Linked DNA regions of Elephas maximus indicus. The main gene of each other region encodes a partner of the protein of the gene in region 3 in a complex. Links are inferred from orthologs where the notes say so. Each region holds a gene or a part of one and is shown on either strand. Other genes may lie near its edges. The genes, in order: MYBL2, LIN52 and RBL1.

The links.
Region 1: RBL1 (region 3) and MYBL2 share a complex: the UniProt entries of both Homo sapiens proteins name them as parts of the DREAM complex. The link is inferred for Elephas maximus indicus from reciprocal best matches to the Homo sapiens genes RBL1 and MYBL2.
Region 2: RBL1 (region 3) and LIN52 share a complex: the UniProt entries of both Homo sapiens proteins name them as parts of the DREAM complex. The link is inferred for Elephas maximus indicus from reciprocal best matches to the Homo sapiens genes RBL1 and LIN52.

Annotation. Positions count from the first base shown.
Region 1 is NC_064843.1:25,661,604-25,665,350, forward strand, and holds the start of MYBL2 (myb-related protein B), read right to left. Parts: upstream 2,841-3,747; 5' UTR 2,636-2,840; coding exon 2,616-2,635; intron 1-2,615. UniProt on the Homo sapiens protein: Transcription factor involved in the regulation of cell survival, proliferation, and differentiation. Transactivates the expression of the CLU gene.
Region 2 is NC_064828.1:86,792,223-86,795,969, reverse strand, and holds the start of LIN52 (protein lin-52 homolog), read right to left. Parts: upstream 2,745-3,747; 5' UTR 2,650-2,744; coding exon 2,619-2,649; intron 1-2,618. Other genes in the region: ALDH6A1 (methylmalonate-semialdehyde dehydrogenase [acylating], mitochondrial), read left to right, coding at 3,191-3,238, 3,425-3,584.
Region 3 is NC_064843.1:32,492,724-32,496,470, forward strand, and holds the start of RBL1 (retinoblastoma-like protein 1), read left to right. Parts: upstream 1-1,029; 5' UTR 1,030-1,269; coding exon 1,270-1,425; intron 1,426-3,747. UniProt on the Homo sapiens protein: Key regulator of entry into cell division. Directly involved in heterochromatin formation by maintaining overall chromatin structure and, in particular, that of constitutive heterochromatin by stabilizing histone methylation.

The DNA.
Region 1 (3,747 bases), about 6.8 Mb from region 3:
TGTTTTTTGAAGCGCATAAAACTGAAAACCACATGTCTATAGAAATAAAATGAAAAATTAACTAGTAGCATTTTCTTCAAAGGAGTTTTATACCACAATTACATGACATGGTGGACTATCACATTAAAATACGTATGTTGACAGGAGAAGCCAGGCACAAAATAATATATACTACATATCGAACCCTCGGAAACCCTGGTGGCATAATGGTTAAGTGCTACGGCTGCTAACCAAGAGGTCGGCAGTTCAAATCTGCCAGGCACTCCTTGGAAACTCTACGGGGCAGTTCTACTCTGTCCTATAGGGTCACTATGAGTCAGAATTGACTGGACAGCAGAGGGTTTTTACATATCGAACCCAGTAACTGCTCCTCAGGAGAAAGATGTAGCAGTTGGCTTCTGTAAACTTTACAGTCTTAGAAACCTTAGGGGGCAGTTCTCTGTCCTAAGGGTCGCTACAAGCCAGAATTGACAGCACACAACAACTTTTACAGGAGATTGCCACTTCTTTCTCCCTTGAAGCTACTGGGCAGGTTCAAACTGCCAACCTTTGGGGTAGCAGCCGAGCACTTTAACTGTTGTGCCACCAGGGCTCCTCTACTGCAAAGTAGGAGGCAATACATCTACAAGACACTGTAACAGAATGACGCTGGCTTTAAAATGAACTGCCCCAGACTCATCACTTAGGGGACGCTAAGCTTCTGCTGAAAGTGTTCGAAAAATTTGGGAACGGATAATGGTGATGGTTAAACAACATGACGAATGTAATTAACGTCACTGAATTGTACCTAAAAAAATGTTGAAATGACAAATGTTTTCTTACATACATATTTTCCATAATTAAAAAAATACATACAGGACAAAAAAAGCCCAACTGCCCTCAGACTCCTCACTGACAGAAACATCTACTTCTAACAGAAGCTCAGCCAACGTGTCTTCAGGGAGAAAAGGGTGCCTGTGTGGACACTCTTCTGGTGTGTCAAGGCTCTGTTAAATGCGGACATCTCAGACAGCTGGGAGAACCTAGTGAGGTATATCCATCATCCACATAGTGCTGGCCATCTACTCCCCAGGCACTGTCATTATCCCCATTTAATAGGTGTGGAAACTGAGGCTCACAGGGTTCACTTTCCACGTCCACACAGCTAGGCCCAGGACCTCAACTCTGCACCTTTAAGTCCTCACCTTTAAGTCCTCACCTGTAAATCCCAGCTAAAAAAGCAGAGGCCAAGTTAATGGTGGCAACTGCTTTCCCTGCAACACACCCTTTCTTTTGCCCTTCAATGTGCTGGGCTCTGCTCCAGGGCCAGGGTGAGTCAGAGGCTGAGCAGGAACTGGGACACTGGGGCAGAGGAGAGTTACAGTGAGTGGCCAAGAAATAAGTTGAGGGTTTGGGGTTCCAGGGTACAGGCCCCATCCCTAACATGGGAGGGGTCCCTCCACTTAGCCCCAGGGGAGAACTGGTGGAAAACCTGGGGATCAGAGGACCTGGACATCATGTGGGGGCAGCCATCACTGGAGTAACACTTCCAAGGGACCTGAGCTGCCCTGGTAAACTGGCCTGAGGAAGACAGTCCCTGTGGCAGGACTACGGGCCCTGAGGACCAAACCTGAGCATACTTCTGCATTGAGAAGGACTCGGGAAAGCTGGCAGTTATGGAGTCACAGGTCTACATCTTCGGCCTGAGAAGGCAAACACCACCATCTGAAGAGGGGCCTGGGGTTATCTGGGCTGCTGGTATCCAGGGAGGGAAGAGGGCAGGACCCCACTGTTCTCCATGACTCCCAGAGCTCAGGCCCCAAATGAAGGGGCACTGGGGCCCACAGACTTGGCTCCAGGATCGACTCTGCCACTTAATTCTCTGGGGACTAAGTAAAATGGAGACCACAGCCCCTGACTTTGCCCCAGGGGCCAGTGGCACAGAGCAGTCTTGATACATACACCTCAGTCTCTCTTTCCCCCACCTTCAATTTCAGCTCCAAAACTCCTAGGGTAGAACACAAAGAGAGCTCTCCAAAACTAAACCAAGCTGGGGCACAGAGCCCAGGCTGGGGAGACAAAAGAGCCCCCTCCCCAGCACCCTTCTCAGACGGAGGGAGGGGGCTTAGAGGGCTTGAAGTGCTGTGCTTCCCCGAATGTTGGGGGAAAAGGCCCAAGGGGGAAGTCTGAACCAAAACTGAGGCTTGAACGACAAGTGTCTTTCAGGCTTTGGCCTCCTACTCGTCGTGAGTTGGGGAGACATTTTCCCTCCCCGGGGGGCACCTCCCTCCCCCTGTAAAGGCCCTTCCAGCTGACACCGGCCGTCCCACCCCCACACCGCAATTAGGCGGGAGACAAAATGACATCATGCAGGGCCTGGCCCGGGCCCCGGGAGACCCGCCCGCCCCGGCTCAGACACCGAGCAGGCCAGGGGAGCGGAGCGAGGGGTCCCAAGGGACCCATGGCTTTATGCGCGCGCCCCTGCCTCGGGCCGCCCAGGACACAGCATTTCCTGAGGAACCCCCCAGACGCCCCGCGCGAAGGGGCCACGGCGAGGTGGAGTGGAACGAGGTGTGGGTGGCGGTGGGGGTGGAAAGGGGGTAGGAAGGGCCCTCAGCCCACCCAGCTCCGCTCACCCGCGCGTCCGCCGAGACATCCCCCCAAGTCGCGCTGCGCCCGCCGGCTCGCCAGCTGAGCCCGGAGCCGGAGCCGCAGCCGGGCCGAGGCCGGGGCCAGGACACTAGCTGCTCCGGCCGCTCCGGGCCCCGGGCCGCGCTAGGTTCGGTCAGCGTGTCCTCAGGTTCCGCCGTCCGCGCGCTGGAGCTACGGCCGCGGCCGGCGCGCACAGAAGCACTTTCCTATCTCGCGCCAAGCGCGTCGGCGCCTCCCGGGCCTGGCGCGCGGGCGGGCAGACGTGCGCAGGGGCGGGGCCTGGGCGGGGCCTGTGTGGGGCCTGGGCGGGGCCAGCGGGGGCGGGGCTGGCGCTGCACAGGCCCAGAGGTTCCATGATGACAGGGGCCGCGGTGGCGACTTAGGAGATGGGACTTGTGAGCACCATATGACTGAGCGGGTTCAAGTCAAGTATTGGTCTGGGACGGCCCACACAGCAAGGACTGTCAAAAAGGAGTGAGGGGCAAGGATGGAAAAGTCAGGCTGGGAAAACCACCTGTGCAAAAACCCCAGGGCTAGTCGAAGCCTCGCTTCTCCGGGTCGCTACAGCCCCGCCCTAAAATGGCCCCCTTAATCCTACCTGTACCTTCCTGCTTTCTCTGCAGCCTCGAATTGGCGGCCCGAGTGACACTTCTGAAATACAAACTTCACTTAGTCTCTCCTGAACTTAAGACCCTTTCTTCTCTCCCTCGGGATAAATTCCTTCCTACACAATCAGGCTCATAGCCTCTGCCTGAATCATCACCCACCCCACCCCACCCCCGCTGAAAGAAGTTTCCTGCCTCCTTGCCTTTGCTTGCACTATTACCCCTCCCACCTAATTCTTACTTATCCTTGAAGTCGGCTGTCCATAACCAGCTGTTGACTTGTGCATTTCCTCCTTTAAACTTTGAGCATCTTGGAGTCCAAAAGGCCTCTGAATCCACCCCAGTATCCCTAGAGCCCAGACAAGGCCTAGCATAGGAGGTCCCAGGTATGTCTGTTGAGTTGAATTCTATTTACGAAGTGCTTAAACTCCGAGAGGCTTAGCAAGGATTTTCCATTTTAAGTTGACGCTTACCAAGAACCTACTTCTTATCATGCCCACGCTGGGCTTCC
Region 2 (3,747 bases), on a different chromosome or scaffold from region 3:
AGGGACCAATCCCTGGAGAAGGACATCAGGCTTGGTAAAGTTGAGGGTCAGTAAAAAAAAGAGGAAGACCCTCAATGAGACAGACTGACACAGGAGCTGCAACAGTGGCCTCAAAGATGGCAGTGACTGTGAGGATGGCACAGGACTGTGTAGTGTTTTGTTCTACTGTATATAGCGTCACTATGAGTAGGAACCGGCTGGATGGCACCTAACAACAACAACAAATGTATGTACAAATACATACACACACATATATAATATTTTTAAACATGTACTTTTCTCTAAACCAAATATTTTCGGGGAATTTCTGATGGTATTGTAATTGGTAAAGAGCTCAAATGTAATGAATTGCCTTAACTAAAGCATCCAGAAATGGTTTAAAAAAAAAAAGCTGTAACACAAAATGCAAACTTTCAAATTCCCAAAAACATTATTAATGGGAAGCTCAACCACAATAAAATAAACTTATTGGCGGTGGGTTCCACAATAATCAAAGGTGGTTTTATGACACTACAGTCTGTGGCATTATTCAGACTCTGCTGTGACTCTTACTTTCATAATAAGTAATTAAATGGCTTTATTTGGATTTCAACTTTCTTCTTTTCAAAGACTCAGCAAATGTATAACTTAAAAAGATGAAAGATTAAACAGTACATACTTATTTTCAAATCAGCATTATCTGAATTAAAATTTAAAGACAGAGACAGGTGGAACACTAAAAATAGAAATGAGAGAGCTGTAGGCAGTTGGATTTTTTTTGACGCAATGCTTATTTAGAAGCAGAATTTAAATTCAAAGTGTTCAACTTGATGTTGTCAGATTAAAAAGAAAAGGGCTGAAAAAGGTGGAATTCTGTAAGAAATCAGAATGGAAACTTGTAAAAATCAAGTAACCACAGAGATGGTTGGATGACCAAAGGGGGAAAAAAAAATTTCAAATACTCTTCCTGGCCTAAGAAAGAAAAAAATTAAGACAGGGAATTATCAAAAAAGGGACACAGCTCTGAAATCTCAAAAACGTATAAAAACAAGGTAGTAATAAACTAAAAATTTTAATAGCAATTATTTCTACTTCTATCGCTTAGCTGACTTTTTAAATGCCTCTCTTTTCTGGGAGAAGAAAGACATTTTAGCAAGAGAGCATCCAGGCAGGAGATTCTCTTCTGACCCATAATTTCTTATACAATAGGTACCTGTGCTCAAAAACATACGATTTTCCACCAGGTAATGTATTATTTATGCATACATATAATCATTCAATAAGTATCAATTGAAGGCTTACCGACTGCCAAGCACTGTGCTAAAAACCCTGGGATACCACTGTGAATAAAACTGAGTTGTCATTTATAATTCAGCGAGAAAGAGGAAAATTAACAGAGTAACTATGTTGACAATGAAGGATGAAGTATACTGAGGTGCTGAATAATGGTGGAGAGGGGCAACTCCACATACTGCGGTCTAGGAAAACCTCTCTGAGAAGGGACATCTACGATGACACCTGAAACTGAAAAAGTGTTTACATGTTTCGTTCATCTTTTTTGTCTCCCAAAGAATCTAACATTGTGCCTTTCATATTGTAGATACCCGACATACTTTCTCTCCTGGCCTCAATTTTCTCATTCTTAATATCATGAACTTCCAAGATTCCTTCCAAACACAATGTGTTTGTGAGAGAGGGAAAAACTACATCTCAGTGAAATCGGCGGTAAAAGCAAAAATGAAGTGAGTTAAAAATCTCTGCAAGAACGTGAATTTACGTAAGTGTAGGAGGGACAATTCAGAAAAGGAGGATGAGAACGGCTGCACAATTTGAAGAATGTAATCGGTGTCACTGAACTGCCCATGTTGAAATTGCTGAATTGGTATACGTGTTGTTGCGTATATTTTCAACAACAACAACAAATCACTGCAAGACCCTAACTCTCTTAAGCAGAACCAACGCAAAAGCATGTGGGTATGAAAAAACCACAAAACTGCTACCTGAGATGACCTGCATCTTAGACAACACATAAACAGAAACAACTGTTCATTTACTCGGCGTGAGGAACCAATAATACCTACAGATGAAGAGAGGCTGCGACGTGTGCAAAACCACACCAAATAGCTCAATTCGCATTCTCCTCAGGACTTTAATGGCGAGGGGCCAAGAAGGTCCCCGGCTTTTCTTGCCACCGGAGCAACTGTCCCAATCTGAGGGAACGGGAGAGAATCACGTTTCTCTTTTGCGACTCAGTCCCGGGATGAGGTCAGCTACCAACCCCACCTAGGGCTTCAGAGACTCGCTCGGGATGCTCAATGAGAAGAGAACCGACCCTTCAATGGGGTGCCCCGAGAAAACTACAGTAAAAGGTACCTCTCCTCGGCCCTCAGCCTCACCCGCATAGAGCTAATGGAGAGCCGGAGCGACCCCGCCCTTCTGCGGGGAAACTGGCACCTCCGGAGCCTCGGTGAAGAACCGGCGAGCTGACGAAAGGGACGCATCCCAAGGAAAAGAAGTAGTAAAGTAAAAGAGAGGGGCCCAAGAAAGAAGTGTAAATTCTAAGGGCAGACGGACAGTGGAAATTCTCAGGAGCAATGAAAGAGGTAGGTGGCAGGCGGAGACTCTAAGCCGGCTCTTACCGTCTGTGGGAGACGCCATCTTCCAACCCATGTCACGTGACGTGGCCAACCGTCGGCGGGAAAGCAGGAGTCCCCAAGCCCCGCCCCGAACGGGGAACCCTATCCCCAACTCGCGGCCGGGTCTTGTTTCGCCGCCGCGTAGGGCGATCTTTGCCTAGCCCCGCCCCCTCGGTGCTAGCCACACCCCCTAACGCTGTTGTTGAGGAGGGGCGACTACAAAGTTCTTGGAAGATCTTATTTACCTTCCTCAGTGAGGGGAGGGGGCGGCCCGTGGTCATGCCTGTGGCCAATCGGAGTTCCGGATTAGGGGGCGTCTCCTTTTAGAGCGCCCAAGTCACGGGGGCGTCTTCCCTACATCCGCCAATAGAATTTGCTGAGGTGGGAGGGGGCAAGAGCTCTTCCACTTCTGCCAATCACACATCCCCAGCTGGGAATGAGGGCGACTGATTGGCTAAGGGGAATGGTCTTCTCTGCAAATGAAGAGGTCCGGCAGGATGGAGGGGCGGGTCCTGGCAGCGGCGGCGCTGCTGGGGACCTCTGAGGCAGTAGTGGCGAAGAGGCGGCGAGGAGCCATGGCGGCGGTGGTAGCAGCGGCAGCAGTGCGGGCCCGGATCCTGCAGGCGAGTGAGGGTGCCGCCGAGGGATCGCGAAGCTAGGAATTGGATCCTTTCCGCGCACGCTCTAAGCCAACCTCGGGTGGGACCGTTTTCCTGGCCGAGACCCCTCTTGACTGACCCTGGAGTTCACACCCGACCCGTACGGCCCTGTCCTCCCCACCCCTCACTTTGTACTCTCCCTTGTCCCAGATCCAGCCCTGGGCCAACACCCCTGGCCCATCACCCCCTGGGCCGTCACCCCTGGGCTATCACCCCCGGCCTCGCCGCTTTACAGCGGAGCCTCCGCTTCTCTGGCCCCGCCCCTCCCTGCCTTCACTCTTGTTCTCATCTCTTTCGGTGCACCCACCAGGTACGTAGTGTACACTTCTAGGAGATTGAAAGTTCATTCTGTGACCCTTGCCCCAGGTTTCAGTGAATTCTACTGCAGAAACGATTGCATTTTGAAGATTCTTGACAGAGTCAGCAAAGGTTCATGTTTAAATGTGCTCTTTAACGTGACACCATGGAAAAGT
Region 3 (3,747 bases):
TCAATACTGAGTGCCTACCACTAATCTAAATATTGGATCGACAGTGATAAACATAAAAGTTTTTGCTCTCATGCAGCTCAGATTTCAGTAGGAAGAGCTGGTCAATAAACAAGTAAGATCATTTCAGATAGTGATAAGGTGCTATGAAGATAATGAAACAGGGTATGGGGAGGAAGGAAAGTCAGCTACTTTAGACACAGAGCTCAGGGATGGACTGAGAAAGTGACACTTAATTGAACTGAAGTGAAGAGGAGCCAGGTAAGCAAAAAGCTGACAGGCAGTTTGGTCAGCATATGAGAAAGACCTTTTGAGGCAAGAACTAGCTTGGCATTTTCCAGAGTCCAAAACAAAGTGAAGCTGGAAGTACAAGGCACTAGATGAGGCGGGCCAGGTTACATAGGGCCTTGTGGGCCACGGAAAGGAGCTTGGGTATTATCTTAAGCAAAGGTATTCGCAGAATGATATTAATCAAAGGAGTGCCATGCTCTGATTTACCTTTTAAAAAGATCACTCTGGCTTTTCCTGAAGTTTTGTTGGAACAGAAGGATAAGCTCTAAGACCTGAAGAGTATTCCTAAGCCTGAAATGGCTGTCTTTATTGAGAAAGTTCCCAAAGTCTAGAGAGCTGAAAAAGGGACTCCTTAATGATGAATGGGGAGATACCCCTTAATATACTTGCCTCACCAGCCCTGTGATAGTCTAGAGCACATTCATCCAACACTGGAGACATCCCAGGAGGCACTGCCTCCATCTCGCAATTCAAGTGCCTAAGCTCAGTCAAAGATGGGCTGTTTGGCGCCTCTGGACACCAACAGAGACAGGGCTGATAAGACTGGCGGGGCAGAGGACGCTTCTCGCTAAATAAATGTCACCCCAACCCCTCCCAAACCGGTAAGAGCGGTGCCGCCAGCTTCAGGGCAGGATGCGGACTACAACTCCCAGTAGGCTTCGCGCGCTGGCTGCAGACCCCCCCCCCCCCCGCTCTCTATTTGCCGCCCTGGCTGGCCCACCGCTGCCCTTCAAGGGCCAAGTACAATTTTTCCAGGACCCAAGATCCGTTTTGTTATCCCATTTCTAGAGAAGGTGGCTGGGAGCTCAGGAGAGGAAATGGACTTTTTTGAAGAGAAAAGCGGAGGGAGACGATGGAGAAGGCGTCGCTAAAGTGTCGCTGATTTTCGCGCGCTTTGGCGCGGGTGGTTGTGGGTAGCGCGCCCGGGAAGGAGGTTGGAGTCGGGGGGCTGCGACCGCGCCACCCGCAGGGCCTGAGGGGATGTTCGAGGACGAGGCCCACGCGGAGGGGGCGGCGGTGGTCGCCGCGGCCGGGGAAGCACTTCAGGCCCTATGCCAAGAGCTGAACCTGGACGAGGGGAGCGCGGCCAAAGCCCTGGACGACTTCACCGCCATCCGGGGCAACTACAGCCTAGAGGTGAGCGGCCGCAGGTGGGGCGGCCGGACCGGACCCTCGGCGCAGTGAGCCAGCGGCCAGGCCCCACCCCCGCCCCGCCCCGCCCCGCCGCTACTCTTTGGGGTGGTGGGAGTTCCCCGCCGAGAAGGGTCGCTGCCAGCCGGGCGCCAATAAGTGCAGAGCTGAAGGGGCGGGTGTAGCTCAGTCAGCCCACCCAGTTTTTGAAGCGGGAAACAAACCCAGAAAAGGAGCGGCTTGTCCAAGGTCACATTTCAGTCAGGGGTCTTCTAGACCCGTGGCTTCCACACCTGACCTCCCTCCAGCCCGCCAAGCGTCACACACGCAAAGGTACCGCCCGTACATTTGTAAAAACAAATACGGTAAAAAAAAAAAAAAAAAATTTTTTTAGTGAATTCGCGTTCCAAGATACTGCTCAGGGCTTTAAATATGCCATCTCAGTTCTCTCCACAACCCTCTGAAAACGTTCTCTGATCCCATTTCACAGTTGAGAAATCTGAGCGCCAAAGAGGTGTCCAACGTCACAGGGCTATTAGTGGAGCCAGATATTGGAGTCAGCTTTTTAAAACCCTTCCAAGACCCGTGGGACATGATGTGTCCCACTCACTTTTTATGCCTCTGGAGTTCTTTGGAAAGGGAGTAGCCCGATTTTAATGTGTTAGCCTCAAGGTGAGAGCCTTTTGAAATGTGTGAAACTCGAAAATCCTGAGTGGGAGCCTCATTTTTGTGTAGATAATTTCAGATGTGTGAAATTTTAAAACTTCTGACAGATTTGCTTTTATTTCTGTGAATTAAGCGTCTTCACTGTGTTTCCCCGTTACTGTGTTCTCTTGAGAATAAACTCTTGCCAGTCTTCATTTAGTCATAGTGGCCATTTTCTCCTTTATGCCATTCGTTGTTTCCAGGTGTTACTGGTTCCCTTCTTTTCCAGCTTCTGAACAGTAAATAATGCTTTTCCAATAAGGAGTAAAACATGACAGTGGTACTTTTCAAGAGATTGATTGGAACTCCTATAAGTTATTCTCACCCTGTATTCAATTCCAGGGCACAGTAATTGCTTCCCTGTGTAGCAGATGGAATGCATCAGGGTGAGCAGTTCTGCTGTATTCTAGGGCAGCTGTTTCTGCTGCTTAGCTGTTCGTACTATGTTTGTTATAATGAAGCATACATATTAGCAGTAATTTTCCTGAGATTCAAATCCCTTTATTTTTATTCTAAGCACTGCTTTTGCCATAAGGAAGAAAGCATTGTAGTGATAATTTTCCTGAGATTAAAAAAAATCCCTTGGTTTTATTTATCTGGGCTGTAAATACTGCTTTTGCAGTAAGGAAGAATGCATTGTTCATGTTTTGAAAAATTTCATGAAAAATAATAAAAAGGTCGTCTTGGTCATCTAGTGCTGCTATACCACAAGCGGATGGCTTTAACAAAGAGAAATTTATTTTCTCACAGTTAGTAGGCTAAAAGTCCAAATGCAGGGCGCCAGCTCCAAGGGAAGGCTTTCTTTGTTGACTCTGGAGGAAGGTCCTTGTCATGAATTTTCCTGTGGCCTAGGAGCTTCTCTGTGTGGGAACCTTGGGTCCAAAGGATAAGCTCTGCTGCTCATGCTCCTTCTTGGTGGTATGAGGTCCCCATGTCTCTTTGGTTTCTCTTTTATATCTCAAAAGAAAATGGCTTATGACACTATCTAATCTTGGAGATCTCATCAATATAACTGCGGCTAATCCATCTCATTACATCATAGTGATAGCATTTACAGCACAGGGAAATCATATCAGATGACAGAATGGTAGACAATCATACAATACTGGGAATCATGACCTACCCAAGTTGACAGATATTTTGGGAGGACACAATTCAATCCCCGACAAAGGCTAAGAAAAGTGAGACTAGAATAAAATGTGTGTGCAGTCATTACCATGTGCTTTCATGTTTTACCTCATGTTTTGCAAATTTTCAAGAAATTAAAAAAAAAAAAGATTTTATTATTGACTCATAGTGGTAGAATTAGTGTCTTCCAGGGGCAGCTGGGATACTGGGATCCCAGATAATGGGTATCAAAATTCATAACTCATAACAAAAATTCTGAATTGATCCTTTAATCAGCATGCCTTCATCAGTGAAAGCACATAGTATCAACAAAAAATTCAAAGGAGAAAGTAATTGGGTCTTGAAAGGGTTAACCTCTCTACCTTCTGCCTCACTAGGTTGGAGGAGAGGGTTGCTCACTTTGTAGCATTGCATTGTACAGTAGCTTGATCAAAGCTAGTATGCAAACAGTGCTTACCTCTCAACCCCAATCTCCTCCTCTGTCAGATGAGGATA